Caenorhabditis elegans: one gene and its partner. The protein of the gene in region 1 interacts with the protein of each later gene in a pairwise test. Each region holds a gene or a part of one and is shown in the gene's direction. Other genes may lie near its edges.

Evidence for each region.
Region 2: the proteins of mex-1 (region 1) and zif-1 interact in a two-hybrid assay, tested with the Caenorhabditis elegans proteins (one study listed by BioGRID).

The regions. Positions count from the first base shown.
Region 1 is NC_003280.10:11,965,294-11,974,493, forward strand, and holds mex-1 (C3H1-type domain-containing protein), read left to right. Parts: upstream 1-3,343; 5' UTR 3,344-3,355; coding exon 3,356-3,494; intron 3,495-3,549; coding exon 3,550-3,701; intron 3,702-3,757; coding exon 3,758-4,096; intron 4,097-4,887; coding exon 4,888-5,394; intron 5,395-5,436; coding exon 5,437-5,553; intron 5,554-6,418; coding exon 6,419-6,658; 3' UTR 6,659-7,054; downstream 7,055-9,200. Other genes in the region: rab-7 (Ras-related protein Rab-7a), read right to left, coding at 362-448, 791-998, 1,149-1,300, 1,347-1,412, 1,493-1,609; W03C9.5 (PTK2), read right to left, coding at 1,889-2,041, 2,090-2,139, 2,186-2,222; acbp-6 (ACB domain-containing protein), read right to left, coding at 7,068-7,249, 7,303-7,444, 8,350-8,373.
Region 2 is NC_003281.10:9,000,941-9,007,081, forward strand, and holds zif-1 (Zinc finger-interacting factor 1), read left to right. Parts: upstream 1-1,838; 5' UTR 1,839-1,848; coding exon 1,849-1,926; intron 1,927-1,973; coding exon 1,974-2,020; intron 2,021-2,067; coding exon 2,068-2,305; intron 2,306-2,351; coding exon 2,352-3,089; intron 3,090-3,138; coding exon 3,139-3,257; intron 3,258-3,299; coding exon 3,300-3,364; intron 3,365-3,410; coding exon 3,411-3,595; 3' UTR 3,596-3,899; downstream 3,900-6,141. Other genes in the region: putative 26S proteasome regulatory subunit rpn-6.2, read right to left, coding at 1-19, 71-558, 991-1,033; F59B2.15 (uncharacterized protein), read right to left, coding at 1,179-1,235, 1,288-1,335, 1,385-1,625, 1,669-1,682; Ras-related protein rab-6.1, read right to left, coding at 4,089-4,156, 4,204-4,264, 4,329-4,422, 4,470-4,581, 4,632-4,737, 4,785-4,897, 4,946-5,009.

The DNA.
Region 1 (9,200 bases):
ATTAGAATTTCGGTGTAAAAATTTACAAATGAATGGCAAATATATCAGGGGGGGGGGGGGGGAACGAGAAAAAATGAAGAAAAAAAGTGAGTTTGAGTGAAAATGAAAAACTAGAAGGCATCGAATGGTGTGTATAACGGAAGAATTTCCCAGAAAAAAAGTAGATGGTGATTGGGGACCGGCAAAGGGTGACTACCGTAATCTGTGGGATTTTCTTTTCAAATTTTTTGGGATTTTTAGAAAGTGGAGACGAGGGAAGAGGAAATGTGTGTTGTGTGGATTGAATTGAATTGAATCGAATGTGTCAAAAATACATTTTGTGCAGATAGAGATAGAGGGCTCTGCGCGGAGCAGCACACGGTTAACAATTGCATCCCGAATTCTGCTGGTTCTGTTGATTTGGGTTGAGACGGATTTGGTCGGGAAACTCTGGGAAATCGTTGGTTTCCTGAAAAATTTAAAATTTTTAGTTTGCTTTTTGTTGGAAAAATTCAAATTTTTACATAAAACGCAGCATATTTTTGATATATTTATTTAGTTTTAGATTTTTCAAATTTTTTGAAAAAACCAGTTTTCTAACCAATTTCTTTGATTTTTAGCTTCAAAATCGCTAAGTTATGCCATTTTCAACCGAAATTTGGCAGTTTTTCTTGATTTCTGCGTACTTTTTTCACGATTTTAAAGCTATTTTCACTATATAACTAGTTTTTAATTACAAAAAAATCAATTTCCGCCCGAAATTTCACATTTTTTAATTTCACAGGAAAATCCAATTTCGCCGCATTTTTACCTGAGATTCTCTAGCCAACGCATCACGAGCAATTGCCAAAAATGCGGCTTCAACGTTGAGAGCTTCCTTGGCAGAAACCTCGTAATACGGAATATTTCCCTTCGTCTGGCACCAAGATTGAGCACGTTTTGACGAAACGGCACGCTGTGACTCCAAATCCACCTTGTTTCCGAGCAGGACAAACGGGAAATGGTCTGGATCGCGGGGGCTGCAAGAATTTGAAGTTTTATAGAAAAACCGTGGATTTTTCGAATTTTTTGGAGAAAAATGGTGGATTTTTCCGTTTTATTAGAGAAAAATAATGAATTTTTCAGTTTTTTTACAGAAAAAATGTGATTTTTCTAAATATTCCCCGTACCTAGCCTGAATCAGAAACTCGTCACGCCACGAGTCAAGCGATTTGAACGAGGCGGCATTTGTGACGTCAAAAGCCAGCACACAGCAATCGGCTCCACGATAAAAAGCGACTCCGAGCGATTGGAAACGTTCCTGGCCGGCTGTATCCCAGATCTGAAATTTTTGTGTAAAATTTTGTCTATTTTTGATAATTTTTCACCTGAAGAGTGACGGTTCTGTCGTCAATGTTTACGTCGCGTGTGAGGAAGTCGGCTCCAATCGTTGCCTGAAGGAGAAATTTGTTTATATTTCAGGGAGAATTTTGAGTTTAAACAAAAATTTCAGTTTCTAAAAAAATTGACAAACCTTATATTGATTACTAAATCGCCGATTTACATATTGATTCATCAAAGATGTTTTTCCAACGCCCGAATCTCCGAGAATGATCACTTTGAGCAGCGCCTTCTTTCTGGTTCCCGACATTTTTGTTCACTGGAAGCCTTTTTGTTGTGCTGCAAAAATCAATTAACTGATAAGAAAATGAATTATAGATTAAAAAAAGAAAGAAAAAGATACAGACAGGCGATTGTTCAACCTGTGTCGCAAGAACAAATAGTAACTAAATTGTGACGACGAAATTATTTAGAAATATTACATAAAGCGAAAATACAATTTGACCCGTAGCAAAAAAATACATGTCGGGAAAATGAGAAAAATGGTTAATAAATTTTTAAAAAAAGTATATAAAATTCCTCCAACAAGCTACTGCATGTCCTTGTACTTTACAATCTTCTCCGACGGATTCCACTTCCGATCGGGGCATTGCGATTCTTCATGTTGGTGTCGCAATGCTGCAGAGACGACGTGCAGCGGATTGTGCCTACAAATGGCAGCTTCGAGCGGTCCAGTGCCCGCCTGAAATGGAATATTTTCGATTTTTTGAATGAAATATGTGTAGCTCACCTCGTTGTAATGATTGGTTACCGTGAATAATTGCGGGTCTCGATTTTTCCCTGGATTAAAATAGTATTGTATCAGTTTTTTCGAGTAAAAACCAACCAGTGAACCTAGGAGCGGTTTGAATCGCATCGGCCATTTTCGCGTGAGGGCGCCTGTAAAATGGAAAGTTTCGCATTTTCTGACAAAGAGGATAGTGATGGTGACGAAAAAAAGAACAAAAAGATTGAAAAAGTGGCGATTTTTTGTGTAAAAAGGGGCAAAAAGTGCACGTGACAGGGCCGTCAGCTGGGAGAAATGGCCAGATGAGACACGCGCCGCGAGAGCCGCGACGCGTTCGACAGAGCGCACTTGTGACGAGACCACGGGAATTATCGAAGCATGGAAAGTGATTCGTGGGGATTTTGAGCAGAAAATTAGTTTTTCATGGTGAAAACTGGGAGGAAAATTAAAAACTTCAAAATTAAAGATAAAGCTTTAAAACAAACAGCTTAAACTAGCAAAATATATACTTTAATTTTCAAAATTTTAAATCCACCGAATAAGTGATCCCCCTAATTTTTCAGCTTCAGCTTCTCGTGCTTAGTCATGAGCATGCTCACGCTGAGCAGCTTTGAATAGTAAAAATAGAAGCACTTTTTGAAAGGAAAAGTACAGAAAACATAAAATTAAAATTGGGAAAATGGAAAAAGACTGGGTATTCGGGGGGTTTCCTGGTATTATACTTAGGAATATTCCTGAGTGTAAACTAGGCAAATAAAAAATTTCGAAAGATTGGAAACCGGATTTAGTTTTTTTTTCAGAGAATTTTTCATGATAGACGGGGGAAAAGAAACGAAAAAAAAATGGAAAGAAGCTTTCAGACATGCGAAAAATCTGAAAATAGATTGTGTCTCGAAGAGTTTCAATTTATATTCTTGTTTTCTAGAGTTTTCGACATCAAAAACCGAACAAATAAACAAGGAAACTGTCCGAAAACAAAGAAGAATAATAAAAATGAATCAAAAAGTTACGGTTCAAAGACGCAGCCACAAAAGTTGTTGCAGGGTCTCACCACGACTACCGTAGCCCGTGGAGCGGGAAATTTTGGATTTTGAGGTAAATGGCGCGAATTTCGCTCATTTTTCTTCATTTTTTGCGGAGATTTTGCCCAAAAATTCAGTTTAATTCAATTTACACCTTTTTTTAACGATTTTGTTCCTCAATTCCTCAATAAAACATGATTTTTCGTCGATTTTCCACCAAATTAATTAATTTCAGGAAAGGAGAAGGATGCAATCTTCAAATGGAGAGCATCACCAACAAAAGCAGACGCCGTACTTCATGAATGCTCCATGCGACCCGGCTCTTCTCGCGTTGGCTCAACAAACGTTTCTAGGCTTCCAACCACAAAAGAATATGTATCAACATGGTATTTTCTTTAGCTTCTGAAGGATAAATCGAATAAAATTAAAAATTAATTTTAGGATTTCCCCCGATGCTTCCCCACAGGAACCTCATTCCGTCGCTGGCGGCCGCGATTCCCGAAATGGATAAGCTAATGTTGGAGGAGCCAATTGAGGCTGGAAGCATGCCATATCGCAGAGCCACCAACAAGAATATCTCTGTGTCCGATGACGTAGGAGAAATTTGAATTATTAAATTCAAAAAATATAAAAATCTAATATTTTTCAGTCATTCAACAACATGCATCGGTCCTCTTCCTCATCGCAATATCGCCGTCATTCCGCTCAATGGGAGACTATGACTGATGACGAACGAGAGTCGGTTCAGCGTCAGAAGCGCAAGGAAGAAGCATTCAAGACGGCACTTTGTGACGCTTTTAAGCGCTCAGGCTCCTGCCCGTACGGCGAAGCTTGCCGGTTTGCTCACGGCGAGAACGAGCTGAGGATGCCGTCGCAGCCACGTGGCAAGGCGCATCCAAAGTACAAGACGCAGCTGTGCGACAAGTTTTCCAACTTTGGACAGTGTCCCTATGGACCACGATGCCAGTTTATTCATAAGCTGAAGAAGGTTGGAACATTTGAGATTGCAGGAATTCTCATAAATGAATAAAATAGCATTATTTTCTTAGGTTTTTATATTAGGTTTTTTTGTTTAAAATCTTCAAATTCTTACTAATTTCGTCGAAATTTTGAGCTGAAATTCGTTGAAAATTGCGAAATCTTTACAAATTTTGGTTATTTTCAGTGAAAAAGATCAAAATTTGGTCATTTTCAGTTAGATTTTCAAATTTTCGTTAAAAATCATCAAATTCTAAGTAATTTCATGGAAATTTTGAGCTGAAGTCAGTTTATAATCCTCGTTTTGTGTGAAACACATTGTAACTTTCAGATTTTTCGTTAAACTGTTAAAAGTCGCGTTCAGTTCAATTTTCCACAAATTTTTCGCCATTTTCACTGAATTTTGCCCCTAGTTTTGTGGGAAATCTTGCATTTCCTAAAAATTTCATAAAAATTCGAGCTGAAATTCGTTGAAAATCGCGATTAATTCTTTTTTTTTCACAAATTTTAGGTTATTTTCACCAAAAAAGACAAAAATTTCGTCATTTCCAGTCGGATTTTTCTGATTTTTCGTTAAAAATCTTCAAATTCCTATTCATTTTATAGAAATAGAGCTGCCAAACCCATTGATTTTTTAGTGAAATTTTTCAAATGTTCTGTTTTCTCGCTATTTTTTAATTGAAAAAATCAAAATTTGAGTCATTTTCAGCGCAGATTTCCTAATTTTTCCCGAAAAATATTCAAAATCTAGTAGATTTCCATAGGAATTTTTAATTTTTAATTAAAAAAAAATTCTTGCAGGGTCTTCCACTGAGCGAGTACAACCGTGCTCTTCAAGAAGGCGAGATCTCACCGGCTCGCGACGACGAGATCACCAATCCCGACGAATCATCATCCCAAGTGGAGGATCTGAGTGAGCTTCACCATCGACAACATCAGCAGCAGCAGCAGTACCAACAACGCTATCGTCGGCCACCATTCAACAATTTCCACGATATGTCGGATAGTGGATACAGTGCTCCTCGCCGCCGGCTTCATCATCAATTCGAGCATCTTGGTAGTGAGCAGCAGCAGCAGCAGCAGCAGCAGACACCAGCTCCGAAGATTGTCTATCCATCGATGCAAGTTGTCAATATTGAAATGGCAACTGGTGACGGACCTAAAAGGTCTGACAATCATCATTATCATCATCATCATCATCAACGTCGTCATATTCCGGCACCACCATCCACCGGTCCACTGAGCTCTCTCATTGATCAGGCCGACTATGAAGCTTCTATGGCAAGCGGGAAAATGTTCGGAAAACCAGTTAGTCCGCCTTTTTCCCGGATAAAACCGTCAAGTTTTGAGAATTTTCAGGAGAACATTCGCACCTATGGAGCCATGATCCGCGCCAACGAGGAGCACGTCGAGCGTAATCAGACTGGAGTTGTCAAGAAGGAACGGGCGACGGTTCTACCGAAAAGGGTACGGCATCCCCGCTGAACAATTGCTTCTAATTATGAAAAAAACACAAAAAATGCGATTTTTCAATGCGACCAATCAGCGATTCACACCGCCCACTTTTCAACCAATCATATATAGTGGGCGGAGCTGATTGGTTTGGCAGTTCTCTTCAAAGTTTAAATATCAATTTAAATCTCTTTTTACGAATCTTTTTCATTTTTTGTAGTTTTTTTTCCGAATTTTTTAGAGAAAAACCCCCATTCTCGCTTTTTTTAGAGAAACCACCAAAAAAATCGGCAAAGAATGTAAAATTCTACTTTAAAACCAGATTTTTCAATTTTGGCGAAATTCCCTTCAAAATGAGAACTGCGACCAATCAGCGATTCGCACCGCCCACTTTTCAACCAATCAGATGTAGTGGGCGGTGCTCGAAGACGCTGATTGGTTTTGCAGTTCCTTTTTGTGGTTTTTAATGAATTTATACTATTTTTGGATTAAAAAAAGAAGCAAAATTCCCGTTCTAGCTATTTTTCAGGGAAACCACGAAAAAAAATGAAAATTATTTTTTAAAAACCCGATTTTTTTAAATTTTGGCGAAATTCCTTCCAAAATGAGAACTGCGACCAATCAGCGATTCGCTCCGCCCACTTTTCAACCAATCACAAAAAGTGGGCGGAGCTCGAGGACGCTGATTGGTTTAGCAGTTCCATTTTGAATTTTAGAGAAAATCCCCCATTCTCGCTGTTCTTTCCAAAAAAAACCACAAAAAAATCCCTGAACAATGAAAAATCTACTTCAAATAAACTCCGCCCATTTCATTTGATTGGTTGAAAAATGGGCGGTGCGAATCGCTGATTGGTCCCCCTCCATACAAATTTTGTTTCAGGATCTTTCACTGATTCGCGAGGAGGATACACTGCTCGTCGACGGTTCTCATCTGAATATGACGTCATCGGCGATTCTGCCAGCTCATCAAATCCCTTCCACCACGACCACCAGCACATCATCTCCAGTCCAAGAACAGCCGTGGTACGAGAAGATTTTCGGGAAAATGACAATGATCCAAGAGGAATCATCGATGGGCGGTGAAGACGACGATGCTCACGAAGATCATTATTCGAGATAATCTGGATTCCTCCGTCCACCCCCTACCTACCTACCTAAAAATCTGCCAAATTCTCACAAATTGTCCCAGTCCAAAATCTCTTACAACAAGAACAAAAAATCCCCTCCAAATTTTCATGTCATATCATAATTTTCCCCCCACACCACCAAAAAAATGTCCATATTTTGTATTTTTGTGTCCCACCCCCCGGCCAATCTGAGCCATATTTATTTTGATAATGATTGTAAAAAGTTATTTTGTGATCTCTACCGTTTCCCCCCAAACATTCCCCATTTCTCTATCTCTCTCTCTAGTCTATCTCACTCTCTCTATCGGTGTCTCGCCACGATACCCACCGACCCAGAACGCCAAGAACAAATATGAAGAGATTTGAATTTTTATTCAAAAACAAAAAAATACTCAAAATCAATCAATAATCCACAGACCAAACTTCACTGTTCCACTTGCAACGGACAATGTTCCGCCCGTATTTTTTGATCATTTCCTCGGCGATTGCCACGTAGTCCGCGCGGCATTTCTCCGAATTCGCGCCTTTCTGCGATTTCCAGGCGGCATATTTTTTCCTGCCGACCTCGTCACCGGCGGGAACTGCTGAAAAATATAGAATGTTAGATTTTGGATTATTTTCCATTCGAGACCCTTACGATACACATCCTCATTTGGAATGTCCCCATGGAGAGCCTGTTTGTACAATGCGTAGAGTTTCAGCCGCTCTCGATCGGTTGGCTCGGACTTGAGCCGACGCATCTCCTCGGCGGCAATTTCAAAAGTTAGCCCGGTCCATTTCTGAGGGAATTGGGAATTTGATTGTTATTATTGAATCCTCGAAAAATTCGGTGGAGCGCGCTTGCATCTTTTACTATTATGGGGCGTAAACGGCCGCGAATCATGGGTCTCGTTATTACGGGACCATGAGATCATGAGAATGCCTATTACTGGCGCGAAAATATTGGCAGGCCGCGGCAGCGAGAGAGCATATGGCGAAGAGAGACGCAGGTCCCTTCGCTACGAGATATTTGCCGCCAGAGAAGTAGGCATTCTCATGATCTCATGGTCCCGTAATAGGTATTTGGTGAAAAATTTCGAACGTTTTCGAGAATTTTGCAGCGTTCTCAAAAACTACGGAATATATAGGAAAAATGTTTGAATTTACGATTTTACCGCCAAATTTGGACGCCATACCTAAACAAGACCCATAATTCGGGGGCGGAGCGTTTCAAATTAGCCGCCGAGCGCGTTTTCACGTCGATTTCATTTTTCTGGATTTAACAAAATCAGTGTTCTGGGCTTCCTCAATGCATTTTTCGCGCTCCATTGACAATCGTCAACGCGTGGAAAAGTGTCGTGTACTCAACACGGACAAATACATTTATTTTTACAACTAAAACCGAGCCGCGACGCGACACGCAACGCGCCGTAAATCTACCCCAGATATGGCCGAGGCAAAATGGCCTAGTTCGGCCTAAAATCTTCCATTTCAATTTACGAGGGAATTCCCTCCCTAGGGAAGCCAGAAATCCGTGACTACGGAAAAAAAGTTCAAATTCACGATTTTACCGCCAAATACCTAACGAGACCCATGGTTCGAAGGCGGAGCGTTTTAAATTTGCCGTGGAGCGCGTTTTCACATTGGAATGAGCGTCTCATTGAAGCGAACTTGCTGACCAGACTGAAATTGAAAATTAGCTCACCTTTTCGAGCTCGGAAATCGGCATTTTTGGAGGCGATAGAATTATTGTTGGCTCCCGCGGAGCACACACGCTTTTATACCCCCTAATTGGCTAAAATATTCGCGAATTTTCGAGGGAAATTGCCTGAAATTTGAGTGGAGGCCCTATATGAGATGTGTGTTCGATGAATATGTAATTTGAGAAAAATAATTGTTTATTTTGTGAGAAATATAATTATTTAAATTCGTTAAATAAGTTTCATGAAAGTTTTTACAGTAGAAAAGCTAAAAAATCGATATATTATGGATTTTTGAAGGCATTCAACGGTGAAAAATTGAAATTTAGTGAGTTTTTGGAAAAAAATTTGGGTGAGAATTTGTATAATTTTTGAGTAAAATAAAAAGTGGGGGAAATTAATAATTTTTATCCGTTGGTGTGTCGTTGCAGTCGCGTAGGGGGTTCCTTGCCAGTTGTTTCTCTGAAATTTCAAAAAAATTATTTAGTTTTTGACTGGCAACGAGCTCGTACGCGTCAAAAAAATACGATGAGAACAAAAAAAAACAAGGAGAGGGGTATGCGCCTTTAAGATAAGGATACGGTAACGGGGGGGAGGTCACTGGTCTCGACACGACAGTTTACTGCGAAAAGGTGTGCGCCTTTAAAGAGTACTGTAGTTCTCAATTTCACGTGTTTAAAATCGTTTTTTCATAGTTTTACAAAAAAAACATTTGGAAATTCGTCAGCAATCTAATTTGTAAACTACAGTACTATTTAAAGGCGCACAACGTTTTTTTCCCATTAAACAAACATTTGTCGTTAACGTTTCGAGACCAAAAAGTCGCGAAATTTAGTACCTGAGTAATAATAAACTA
Region 2 (6,141 bases), on another chromosome or scaffold:
TCAGAAGTGCAGTCTTTGCCTGAAAATATATTAAATGCACTTTTATTTCAATTTTCTAGACATTTCTCACCTTCGCCAAGTTATTGAGATTGAACGAGCTCTTGCTTTCTTCGACAGAAACTTCAATTAGCAATTCACGGTCCTCAAGCTTTTTGAGCTCTTTTGAAAGGTCTTGAGCCAGCTTTTGAGCGTTCGTAAAGTCACGGATATCGTTGTAGAGACGAATGAGACGGGCTTGAAGACTCCGACGGAGAAATTCCCTCTTGTTGGACGTCGCCCAGCCGATGCAGTTCGTCAAGAGATCGATCTTCTCTTTCTTTCCATGATCAAGCGCAGGCCCGACTCCTTGATCAATCGTAAGCGCATGTTCCACGATATCTCTTATCAATTTACTTGCTCGAGCTTTTCCAACAAGATCGTAGAAGCTACGAATGGATTCGACGAGTGTTCGGATTCCAGTAATATCCTTTTCCTTAGCAAGTTGCCTCGAGTAAGACAGGATAAGATCCTCGCATCGCTTTACTTCTGCCTCCGATGACTTCGCAGTTTGGGCAGATACTGAAAATATTTAATTCAACCGTTTTTTAAATACTGAAAACATAAAACATGCTAAAATTCGCGTTTATTTGATTGAAAATCAAGAAACGATTCAAAGAATAAAAATACATGTGATACCGTAATCTTAAAGGCGCAGGACGTTTAATGGATGGGTCTCGACGCGGCAATGTTTTTCAAGCGGGAATTCAAAGACAATCTGCCCAATTTTCCATGTTCCTCGCGAGAAATCTCTAAATCTCACATTCCTACGTCGCCGCAAGCTTTCTTGTTTTGTTCCGCATAAAAACATTCATCTCTATCAAAGCCAATCAATCCGCCCGCGGTCCGCGTTCAGCTATTTTCCCGTTCATCTCTAGCCAGCGACATTGTTCATCCTATTCTCTCGCGCTCACTTGCTTCTCCGTTTTACTAGTTAATAAGAAACAAACAAACCTTCACTTTGTACAGCTTTCAGAGTGACTGGAGTAGCAGACATCTCAATTTTTTCTAATGCTCGCAAAAATAAATGAAAATAAATTAATTTTGATTCTTCATCGAGATTCGTTTCGATGACGTGGCACGTGACCTCAGAGGTCACGTGAAAAAACAATATAAATAAAACGTTTATTTTTACACGAAAATTATCTATTGAGCATAATTCGACGAGAGTTTCTCATTGAAGACGGAATCAAATTTTGCTGAAAATAAAAAAAAATAATGAAAATTGTTTGGCTTTTGGCTGCTTCTTACATTTGTGTCAACTTCCTTCTCTCCACTGTCCTTGGATTTTTGCTTTCTCTGCAACATAGGAAAATATTTACACTTTTCATGTTTTTATGTTTCCAACCTCCTGACAATCGTCTTTAGTGCTAATCATTTTACAAGTACACCCGCGATTCTTATGGGCGTCTCGTGTTCTCGGCGAGCCTGGCGAACGAACCATGTGGAAAATGTTCGGGTTTCGTCTGTTAGACACCTGCTTCACATCCGTTCCATTTTGATTTCTCCACCATGTCCATCCCCAATAAACCAAGCTCGCAACGACTGACAAGGAAAGAACCACTTTTTCGGAACTACGGATTTCCATTCTGCAATCCGATTAGTTATCGCTTATTTTCAATCTCCTCTCACCTTAGAATATTCATTTGAATGATTCAAATTCAGCAAAAATGATAGCAATACATTTTTTTAAAAACTGAACTATACTTTTTTTAATCGTTTATATTTTTAAAAACGTTTCACGTTTCTATTTTAATCTTAATTCTACTCTCTTCTGTTCAAAAATATGTATCTAATTACAGAGTGGACACAATGAGTGAGTGTTCCGCGAGTACCAGTCAGTTATCTACTTTCTGTGTAAATGAGATACCATGGAAGTTGGTTCCACAGGTAAAAATCTTGAAAACCACTCAGTTTCGACAAAACAAAAATTTCAGACTTGCGACGAATTCAGCGAATACGAGTTCATAGATGAAAAATATAGGTGAGGATCTCTAGATATATATCTATTAAATTTTATAACCTTTTCAGGCGCCTTTCTGACGTAGAATCGTTTGTCTGGAAGTGGTCGCCGTGTGGAAGATATGGAATTGATCTTCCGGGCGGTCGTGACGTCATTAACCAACAACTACGTGACCGTATGGCTGTATTCGATCTACATACGAACAAATGGACCCTATACACCATGGACCGTGGTGCTTTCGAAATTCCACGAGTTTGCTTTCTCTACTGGGCACGAAACGATATAATCGGCACAATAACCCTTGTAGTAAGTGTCCGATCTACCATACCTAATCCAAAAAATAAAATTTCAGAAAGACTATGAAGCAGGACCGGATGATGAAATTCCATTGAAATTCAAGCAATCATTCTTCTACGTATCTCACGAAACACAGACATTAGTGTACTCTGGTTCATGCAAGTACCGTACGAATAAAACAATCGTAGCATCTTATTGGTACCATATTTTCGAAAATCGACGTGGCGAACCGTTCATTGATCACAATAACTACCTGTGGTTGGTATTCTCAAACGGAGTGGATTCTCTGATTCTTCTTCCATTTATTCCAACTTCAACGTGTTTCAAAGCGAAATGTGTATCATTTGATATGAACGATATCGTCAGTCAATTCACTGGTATTCGCGTATTTCTCGATCCATTTGTATCATCTCACTACGTGCCATGGGTCTACAGAAATGACGTTAATTTTTTCATTAGGATTGATTCGCATTCATTTATCGAGGAGCAAAACCGGGACTATGGTCTAGATCCGCAAATTGATAACCCGGAGACGAAACCGCACAGAGGAGTATTTCAACTTCGTGTGAATTTGAAAGATGTCATCGAAAAGGGCGAAAAAGATGCGATTCATGCAGTTAATCCTGAAACAATAGAGACAAGATTCAATCGAGGTGACATTGAACTATGGCGAAAAATCAGCGATGAGCTCCGTCAAGAACATCAGAGCATAGCACAGCATGGCAAAATGGTTGTAGTACAACGATGGTCACACTTTACTGTTGATATGGGGCTCAGCAAGAAAATGAGAACCGTAGGATATGAAAATATTATTTGTTGATAGTTTATTAATTTAATTTCAGCGTGTTGCCGATTTGGACGCCCGTGATTACTGTTGCAGCCATAAGCCACGTAATTCGTCATTCTGCTGTATTGACTTGGACAGCGAGCGAATCAAGGCTGTGGATGCTCTCATTCTTGGGTACAAATTAATCTATTTTTTTCCTAAGTATTTTTTTTTCAGAACTGACGTGGTTCTTCCCCATCCTAGTGGCTCTGTATTCCTATTTCGATACAAGGAAAATTATGGTAATCCCTCCACCAAATAGACGTTTTCTTCATCGTAATTTTTCAGGGATGAGTTATTGCGAGCTTCCATTCTTCCAGCCACTTTCATTGAAGCTAAAATGTATTCAAGTTCTCAAGGAATCTGTCGAAATCGACCCAAGTTACTATAGAATCAAATGCTGCCTTAAAATGCAAGAAGAACTTGAAAAAGAAACTGCCGAAAATTTGTGCACGATAAATATTCAACAATAATAATTTCAAAAAACTAAGTAAACCCCCTTATTAGCATGACACTCCCCCCACCCCCTCTGATAATTATTTTGTATTTATATTCTATAATTCGTAATTATTATTTTTAACTAATAATTCCTTTATTTTTTAAACACATTCCCCCGAGTGATCTGATCACCAAATTTAGAATTTTAATGATTTATTAAACCCTCACCCCTAATTTAATACCGCCTGCAATTTTCTGACGCTTCCTGCTATTTGTAATGATATTACTTTTCATTTTTCCACCTGTTCAATTTTGTCAATACAGACTTATTCGATTCATTTACGGTACACTTGAGCACGATACATTTGAAACAGGCAATAGATTCGATTTAAATTTTGATGAGCGATGAAGAGGAAGGCAACAACGGGAACATAAGCGTGGAGTTGAGAGAAACAGTTGCTAATTTTTGAAAACCCATATTTGGAAAATAAATAATAAATTTGGTTGATGAAAAGCTGCGGATTGGATTTAACACGGACATTGACGGCCTTGGCTCTCTTCCGCGTCTTTAGGAGGATTCATGATAACGATGTTGGCTGAAAAAATTAAAATAAATCACTAAAATGTTTGATAAGAATCTTACGCTGCTCAGGCGTCTCCTCTTGGACAATTCCTGGAAGTGCCGTAGCGATTTTGCGGAAGAGCTGAAAAGGCTTATTTTTACTTTAATTGTCTGAAAATTTTCAGACGAATTTCAAAAATAAGTACCTGTTTGACGTTGTAGCCAGCTTTTGCAGAAGTTTCAATGAACATCACATTCAAATCGCGAGCCTTCTTTTCTCCATCCTCCGTCGAAACTTGTCTGAATTTCTTGTTGTTTGGAATAATTTTAGAGTGCATGTTCGTTACCTTTTATCAGCCAAATCGGTTTTATTTCCGACGAGCACGATAATGACGTCACATCCACGTTCGTTGCGAACATCATCAACCCACTTTGTTGTTTGATGGAAGGAATTGGCATCTGAAAAATTATTAAAATAATTTAAAATCTCAGATTCTAGTAGAACTCACTAGTAATATCATACACGACAACGGCAACACTCGAATCACGAATGTAAGATGGAATCAAAGATCGGAAACGTTCCTGGCCAGCGGTATCCCACAATTGAAGGCGAATCTGACAAGGTAATTAATTTAGTTTCAATTTTCTACATGGTATCTTACGGTTCTGTCTTCAAGATACATAGTCTTGCTGAGAAAGTCAATTCCAATGGTGGCTTGATAGGTGTTGTCAAACGAATCATACATGAATCTGGTGATGATAGAAGTTTTTCCCACTGAATATAAGTTTTTTTGAAACTAAAACGGCCCTCGGAATCACTTACCACTCTGTTCGCCGAGAAAAACGAGCTTAAACTTTTTGAGAGCGTTATTTGTGAAATCAGCCATCTGTAACTGAAATTATTTGTTTGAAGAGGAATTACAAAACAAGAACAAGGTACATCAAACGTTTCTTAAAAAATAATATGAAGGTTTCCAAATTTGGCTGTTTAAAGATTCCAAGAGCAAGAAAATTAAAAATTAAAAAAAAATCGGTGAGAAACACGAAACTTGGCGTCAAATTGCAGAATTCTGCATTTCTGCGTAAAATTTAGAGACCCGAAGGAGACCCGAAGAACTCGGAGGATGTCCAACTGGGGGGATTACCAACTCGGGGGATTGGCCCCGCCCACATAACCGTGGCTTGCAATACGCCCATTTCTGCAACTGCCGCACGGTTTTAAAACTGTATTTTTATCAATAGAGTGAGGATTAACAAGAAAAAATGATTTTAAAACCGTGCGGCAGTTGCAGAAATGGGCGTATTGCAAGCCACGGTTCTGTGGGCGGGGCCAATCCCCCGAGTTGGTAATCCCCCCAATTGGACATCCCCCGAGTTCTTCGGGTCTCAAAACTTAGTGTATTTTAGAGTCGATGCGATTCGTGGGATGAGCTTCGTTCGGAGACACAGGAACGTGAACAAATATATCAAGATTTTAACAATTTTTAGAGCGGAAACTCGAAAAAAAAATAAACATGACAGTCAATAGTTTGTTTGCTTAAAAAGTTCTACTTTTTACTCACGTTTCTCAGTTTTGGAACGAAGCCCCGCCTTTAAATTTCTGAGTTTAAAAGGTACCGCCCCCAAACGTTGGGTCTCGTTAGGTATTGGTAGCAAAACCGTAAGATTTCACTCGGTTTGAATCATTTTTAGTCTTTTTTGTTATGTTTTCATGTTTAAAGATATTTATGCCAAAATAATGTTAATAAAATAATTTTCATTCGGATATTAATTTTATCTCATATCTCATTAATTTCGACATAAAAATAGAAACTCTTAACATGTTAGGCATAACATAGAAAAAGAAAAAAAATTGAAAACGTTTAGTTTACGGTTTTCTACAGTACCTAACGAGACCCAAAATATGTGGGCGGAGCGTTTTAATTTGGCGTTGCAGCACGATTAAACTTTTATTTCAAAACGCAAATTTTTTTCTGTTAGGAATATGAAACTAAAGAAAAAGTGTTTCTTATCAAAAAT